Linked DNA regions of Solanum lycopersicum. The protein of the gene in region 1 interacts with the protein of each later gene in a pairwise test. Links are inferred from orthologs where the notes say so. Each region holds a gene or a part of one and is shown on either strand. Other genes may lie near its edges.

Region 1 (4,075 bases):
TATTTTTGGAGCTCAATTAATTCAGATTCATATAGGTAAAATATCTTTTATTATATAATTTATATAAAAATGATTTCAGTTTCATAACTCAAATTTGAAATGTTTCTCTAAAAATAAATGAATATCTACCTTTTACGTGATTCATAGGTGATCTCTATGGTTAATTCTTATGAAGTTTTTTTTAGAATAATTACATATTCGCAACACATGATTTGATTGATAATTAATTTTTTTTTTTTGGATATTAATTTCGGTGGAAGTAAGAATTAGTCCGTGTGCATGTATTTCCACACTGAATACTGTGATATGTAGTGAAACAAAAGTATATTCATATGGTATATCACTGCTTTATTATCCCCCCAATAAAAATAAAAATTAAGGTTCATCAGTATTTAATGATCCAAGAAAAAAATACATTGGACTTATAAGTGTGTTGGAGTGATACAGGAATCTTTCCATTTTTACATAAGTATGCATGAATATGTATAGCTAATTAGTGTATGCTAATTGTCTACTCGATATTATATTGTTCACCTTAATCGAGTTATAGATATTTGATAAATCCAACTTCAACATGGTGAACAGATAAGGAAAAAACTAGCTAGAAAAAATAAATTTTTTTAAAAAAGATAAGGAAAATAGAAATACAAATAATGTAAAAAAAGAACTTTTTAGTAACGTGGACAATTGATATGAAATTGAAACAAAGGGAAAGTTAGATGGTAGCCACAATTTCAGCACAACATGTTGGTTACACATATAGCCTTATTATACATACGAAAATTGTCATTTAAGAGCAAATAAGGTACTGATTACTACAATAATTAAGCTAATTAAGAGGAAATCAAATCAGAAATTGATTTTAAGTCTAGGGTGTCTTATCACACCTAAGATTACAATTACAATTATATATTAATGTAAAAATATAGCTTGAATCATCCACTCTATTTCTCTTGAGACATTCCCTTGAGAAAGTCTCTTGCTCCAAGCCCTATCACTTTTGCCTCTGATCTCTTCATGATCCTTAGCCTTTTGCATGATTCACTGAACATTCTGCTAAATCAAATTCCAATTAATACGACTTCTTTTGATTTTTTCTAACACTACAAAATGTTTGATGAGTAACCGATCAAGGTTGTTATAGTGTGGTAGGTAGTAATTTATTCTTAACCAAGAGGTTTCAGATTTTAGTTGTCTTGGGTATAAAGCTGCCTTTGTTAGGAAGTTTTAACCTTCCTGGCACGAATCCCTATTTAATCGGGTTTCAATGTTCTAATTTATCGGCATAATGATGTTTTGATCTATGCCTTAAAAAGGACAAAATTGATCCATCAGTGAATATATGCTAGTTTAAATCACCTAAATTTGACTAAATTGGTCAATTTATGTACTATAAGCTAAATTTTACACCCCTTTTAACACATTAATTAGTTTAGTTTTACAATTAATTAAAGAAGATTCAATTAGGGATAAGGTGCCCGAGGGGCAGATCGCGTTAAAAAATTACTAATATATAAAATTTGAACTTTTTTTAACATAAGATTAGAGGTCGACTGAATTTAAAATTCAGTCGACAATTTCAAAATTCAAATCTCAAGTATTATATTAAATATGTTCCTAAATTAATAAAAATTCTGAATCTGTCGTCTCGAATAGAACATAAAGAGAAAGTGAAATACTTACATCCATGGAACATCGCCGACAAGCATCCAATCTCCATCTTTGTCTTCATAGATTGGAACGAACTCTGACTTATCTGCATCCTCCAATGCTTCTCCTGTTGACACATTTAAATACAAATTTAACATATATAACACTAGCAATTAAATTGCTTATATTTATGAAAAAGATGCTCGATTTATGTTTATTAGTATAGTACAGTAACCGTACATTTCAATAATAATAATTTCACTTTGCCTAAATAAATGCATGTTAATATAGAAAACTGAAATACTAACCAATTCCATAGCAATCAAAGAGTTTTTCAAGAGCCATAACAAGTTGATCATAACCCTTATGAGTACTCAAATCAACTTTCCTCAAAAACGGTGCTCCATCCATGCTAACTTTGACGTACATTTTATTATTGGATTCAGCTTCACGTCCGTTAAAACTGTTCTTTTTCCGGTAAGCACACACAGGAGGCCAACCAACAACTTCGTTCTTGTATTGACACTTGTAATTATTAGCCTCAACGTTGTTGTTGTTGTTGCTGCTGCTGCTGTTTCGATCACTAGTAGTAATTTCCGAATAAACCCTTTTCTTTTCATTTTTCTCCAATATTCCTCCTGGAAGTCCCAATCTTAGCTCAGTAATTTCCAATTCTGTTGCCATTTCGTATTATGTTTTGAAGACTGGAAAATTAATATATTGTTGTTTTGATGGAAAAAATGAGTGTGTGTGTTTATGAGTATATATAGGAAATAAATAATTGAGAAGACAATGGCAGGTAAACTAAACTTAATGGTCGGTCACATGAGATACAAAGGTAGGGAAAATATATATGTTAGGTATGTAATTTAAAACATTAATAATTTGTGGAGATTTACTTGTGACCGTTTGATATGGTTAACAAAAGACATGCCATGTGATGAAGTGTTCCCAATATGTTTGTAGACACATTAATATACGCGTGCAAATAAAGGTACATATATACATGTAATTATTTCGAGTTGGGATAAAATTTTTGCAAGTACGGATAAGGTATGTGTATATATTAATCTCTTCAGATTTTATATACGGGTTTATATTGGGTAACTTATGGATTGGCCGAATCAAGTTTGGTTTAAAAGCTATTTACGTGATTGACAATAGAATCTTGTTTAATAAGTGGAACGCAATAACTGTCCGCTATCAGGTTGGACAGTCAGGGTAGGAGAAGGGCAATGACTCATTCTTATAACCAGCGTTTTTAAGAACAAGAAGTCGGGCGGAAGGGGGAAAAGCCCTACGTTCCTGGTTCTCTTTATAGTTGAATCCAAGTCTCTTGCCACCTAAAACTCTGGCAAGAAAGCACTGCTTTACCTTTGATCCTATGTACCTTCTCTCTCATTAATTTTAAGAAATTTATTCGTACAAATTATAAATTTTGAAGTCAATAACTTGAAAAAAAACTAGAATTTCATATTCATAAGTACTTTAAATTATGATTTCGTCTCTAGCTAAACAAATCTTTTAATTGGACAAGAGCCTATTTGGGACTAAAATCAAACAGGAGGGCATAATTATTCTATTTCACTAGTTAAGGGGCAAATGTGACCTTTTGTCAAAACTAATACAGTTAAATTTAAGTTAAATTAAGTGTTATGTTTATTTCAAAAATTTTACATATATAGTCATGTATTTGAATTAGGATTGACAATTTCGAAACCAATGAATACACATATTTCTCTTGAAAAAAAATGATAGTTTACGAAAAAGAATACCATAATTTATTTATTTTTTTGTCTCCGTTATAATTTTCTAATACACGGACAATTAATTTTTTGAGGAACATATCCAATTATAATAGGGTATATGGATATTTGATTCTTGCAGAGAAGGCAAATTTCTGCGAGATAATATTATTATTTACACATATAATAAGTAGCATGTTATTAAAGGAATATAATTTCTCCAATTATAGACAATCAGTTTATACTACATTATAACAAGAAGATACCACGATGAGAATATTTTGCAATATTGGGACATAGAAATCTTACTTTGAATCCCTTAGATTAGAAATTAATACATAAATATAACTATTGTCTAGTCAATTATTTACAAATTATAGTTGGTCTTCTATCAAATATATAAATTCAACATTTTAATTAAGTAGACATTCTCTTGCATGTGCACGTATCTTATAATAATTGATACGACCGATTATTATTCAACTACAATATCATGTAATATTAACTAACAAATTTTACTTAATTCACATTGTTTGCAACAAATTTTAAACATATAGATAAATCACACAAATAAAATCAAAAGAAACATAATTTTATTAATCTAGATAGATTGCGGGTACAATTGTGTTAATCCCTTGATTCTACTCTCTTAAGATTTATTCATGATTCGAGGACCATTA
Region 2 (3,800 bases), on another chromosome or scaffold:
AGACTGATAAAGTTTGCTAGTTATAAGTTGCTTGCTTGATTTTTTCGTGTCAAGGCTAATAGAGTTTGCTATCGGCAATACAATTAAATACATTCACCTATTGTATATTTTGAGTTATCTTCCCAAACAAAACTGTTACAATAAGTATAAGGCCTATTAAGCAACTTATAAACTTTTTGATATATGTGCCTATGTCATCAACTTTAATAGGTCAGATGGGATGAAGATATAATGAGTAATCATCAGGAACGGGTTTCTCCTTGGGAAATTGATTCTTCAGTTTCCTTACCACCACTGAGCATTCAGTCCTCACCAAGACTGAAGAAACTGCGGACTAGTCAGCAGGCACCATCAGTACTGGACAGCCATTTTGCTGGTACTGATCTAACTTTTCTAAATCCTTTTGTATTATGTTGTCATTATGTCGTATGGGTACTGCGTTTGGACTTTTTTTATCCTTGAATCGACGGTCTGTTGGAGACAGGCCTCTCTACGAAGGTCTGCGTACACGTATACACTACCCTCCCAGATCCCACTGTGTGGGATTACACTGAGTATGTTGTTGCTGGTGTTTTCATTAAGTTGTGATTCCACTGAAGTTCATTTTTATTCCGATTTTGTTATTTTATCAGGAGGGAGTGCTCTTTTAGACTTTGAGGAGTCAATAAGATCCTCCAAGGTCTTGCAAGGTCAAGAAAATTTAGGTCTGATATCACCTCCCTATGGTTGTGATAAACCAGTCCGCCCACTGGATTTCGAGCTGCAAAGAGTAGCTCGTCACAATCTCATGCCAAATGGTGTAGAGAACATTATTGTTGGTGACTTTGTGAAAACTCAGCCTCCAACAACCTACACAGGCTTTCTGGAATCCAATAGGTTTCCAAAGGTCTTGCAAGGTCAAGAAATTTGCTCGTTGAGATCCCTTACTGGAAAAGGTGATGTTAATTTTGGTGCTTGGGGAAAACCTGAATTTGGTTGCAATGTTTTCGGCACATATCAGAGGCCGAGAGCCAATTTCTATCCTCTCGCTTCTGAAGGGGCGAGGAATGTGTTTTTACCTTACAATGCGATGTATAGAGCTGGACAAGATCCCGTGGTTCCCTCCTACAGTACTAATTTCCAAAGAGAAAATCCTACCTTGAACCAGAATTCAATCCAAAATGTGGTTAGGAGGGAAGAAGTTGGAATGCCAAAGTTTGTAAATGAGCAGAGGCCACCGGAGATGTCTAAAGTGTCCATTCCAGAGAACCATTTCAAGAATGAAAATGACGACTCCTTCAATGCACAGGCTCCATGTAAACTGTTTGGCTTTTCCTTGACGAAAGAACCATCTACTCCTAGCTCGCAGAGTTCTGGTAAGAGGAGCTGTACTAAGGTAAGTTTCCATAAGTTGCACATAGCGAATTGGAACTGTTTTTTCTTTGGACTCTATTGCTAATATTGAATAAATGGCGTGAAGGTTCACAAACAAGGCAGCTTGGTTGGACGAGCCATTGATCTCTCGAGATTGAATGGCTATGACGACTTGCTGGTTGAGTTGGAGAGGCTTTTCAACATGGAAGACCTCTTAAGAGATCCCAACAAGGGGTGGCGAATCTTGTACACTGACAGTGAGAATGACATGATGGTTGTCGGAGATGATCCATGGCAGTAAGTCTCTTTCTCATGCATCTCCGTTTCTCATCACTGTCTCAATTGTTTGATACTACATTCAAAAAATATTACTTCTTGGTTTATTAATGCATATGAATCACTAGAACCACACAAATTTCTCTTCCAATTAGCTGACTTCCACTAGAAATCGGAGTTTTGGATATTAGCTAACCTCCACTTGAAATCTAAGTATTCTTTTACTTTTCTTCTCCCAGGTTAAGATAAATTTCTTTCCTTGAGCTGAGGGTCAATCGGAAACAGCCTCTCTACCTCCAAGGTAGGGGTAAGGTCCGCATACACTTTACCCTCCAATGTGTGTTTATTATGGAGGAAAAATGCTTCTGAGAAAATGTTCTTCAATTTTCCCGTCTTTGATTGATCAAAAAATTTGGAGAACATTTTCTTCAAGTAAATAAGTCCTTTAAATATGAGGAAAATGACTTCCTTAGTCGAAGTAGGGAAAACAAGTTCCTAAAATAGCATACCATACTGATTTTCTCCATTCCACCCTCCCAACACACCCACACCCCATTCTCGCCATTCTCGCCACTCCCACCACACATAATGTTTCCCTTGAATTTATACACAAAGCTACTTATCACACACAAGAAAATAAATAATAAACACTTTTTTTCAAGAAAGCATTTTCTGGAAAAAACATTTTCCTTCATACCACACACCTTAAATTAGAACTTGTTATTTTGCAACTTCTGCCGAGCAGCAAAATCTTGGTTCAGGGAAAAAGTAAGGGTCTGTACACACTGTCCTCCCCAGACCTCACTTGTGGGATTACACTTGTTGGATATGTTGTTCGAAAAAGTATAATTTCCCTTAATAGATTGATTTGCTTATCAGTAACTTGTGTACCTTCTAAATGACTTTTCGCAGTGAGTTCTGTGAGGTAGTATCCAAGATCCATATATACACTCAAGAAGAAGTGGAGAAAATGACTATTGAGGGGATCAGCGATGACACTCAAAGTTGTTTGGAGGAGGCACCAGCAATCATGGATGTCTCAAAGTCTTCTTCAGTTGGCCAGCCTGATTCATCTCCAACTGTAATCAGGATTTGAATAAAGTTTGAATGGAGTACCTATGAATGTTCATGCTTTTTTTATGCTATGTTAAGTGATATATGTGATGATAATAGTACTCTACCTACTACATGTTCTTGTTATGTTTAATAAATTATTGTCACTTAACATGTTATGTTAAATGTTGGAAGTCTGTAATCAACTACAATGGGAGCTTGTATGATGAAAACTATGTGGTGACTCATATGTCATTATAACTCTGAATTCTAATTATGTTTCACTATGTATAATATTGAACATTGTATGAATACCCCTTTCTTTCTAACCCCCACCCCAAAGTGGTATGCAGTTGCTTGAACCTAGCGCGCACGAGGTGGTGCTTGACCAAAAGGTTGAGGGCAAGAATACTTGGTGATGATAGTTTAAGATCAATGTAATATTGAGACAACTAAGTACATGATAGAAAGATGTTGAGCTCGACTTAGAGGGCAAGTCCAAGAATACTTGGGTGGATATAATTGAAGATCGATGTAATTAAGACAACTATGTAACGGATTGGACACAAACGCACCAAAAAAGAAAAAGTGGAGCCCACCTACCAAAACCAAGTTGTGTACTTGTGTTTGGTAAATAAAAATATTACCTACTTAATCTTAGAAGGTTATATTATTCCATTTTGTCAAATATTTTATTTAGTAGGAGTATTATGGATTGAAAATCTGGGCTAGACAACACTACTTTGTGAAAAGAGTGTTTTTCTAATTACAAATTTGTGGGGAAGGGGAGTTGGTTTTTAGTGACTTAGTGCCATCTAAGGTCTACTACCTAGATTGCATTGGTAGTGGCAATAGGTCACAAGTACTATAATACTATCCTATGTCTATGTGGGCTTACTATTTCAATATTTTAATGAAGTGGATGTGGATCACCAAAATGATATAAAAGCACTAAAACCAATTTTCATAGGCTATATATAAATCTCATTTAAAAAAGAAAAAAGGAAAACAAAATTCTTTATTGTCCCCCCAAAAGTGTTTTTCTAGTATCAGCGTAAATTGTCTACATTACACACCCTTAAAATAAGATAGCCTTTTCTCGAACCCTGCATGAACAC

Evidence for each region. The genes of interacting proteins can lie anywhere in the genome.
Region 2: the proteins of IAA19 (region 1) and ARF4 interact in a two-hybrid assay, tested with the Arabidopsis thaliana proteins (2 studies listed by BioGRID, with this or other methods). The link is inferred for Solanum lycopersicum from reciprocal best matches to the Arabidopsis thaliana genes IAA19 and ARF4.

The regions. Positions count from the first base shown.
Region 1 is NC_090802.1:65,646,069-65,650,143, reverse strand, and holds IAA19 (IAA19), read right to left. Parts: upstream 2,381-4,075; 5' UTR 2,335-2,380; coding exon 1,959-2,334; intron 1,778-1,958; coding exon 1,684-1,777; intron 1,054-1,683; coding exon 945-1,053; 3' UTR 762-944; downstream 1-761. UniProt on the Arabidopsis thaliana protein: Aux/IAA proteins are short-lived transcriptional factors that function as repressors of early auxin response genes at low auxin concentrations.
Region 2 is NC_090810.1:59,239,616-59,243,415, reverse strand, and holds the end of ARF4 (auxin response factor 4), read left to right. Parts: intron 1-210; coding exon 211-376; intron 377-632; coding exon 633-1,375; intron 1,376-1,459; coding exon 1,460-1,650; intron 1,651-2,541; coding exon 2,542-2,725; 3' UTR 2,726-2,994; downstream 2,995-3,800. UniProt on the Arabidopsis thaliana protein: Auxin response factors (ARFs) are transcriptional factors that bind specifically to the DNA sequence 5'-TGTCTC-3' found in the auxin-responsive promoter elements (AuxREs). Could act as transcriptional activator or repressor.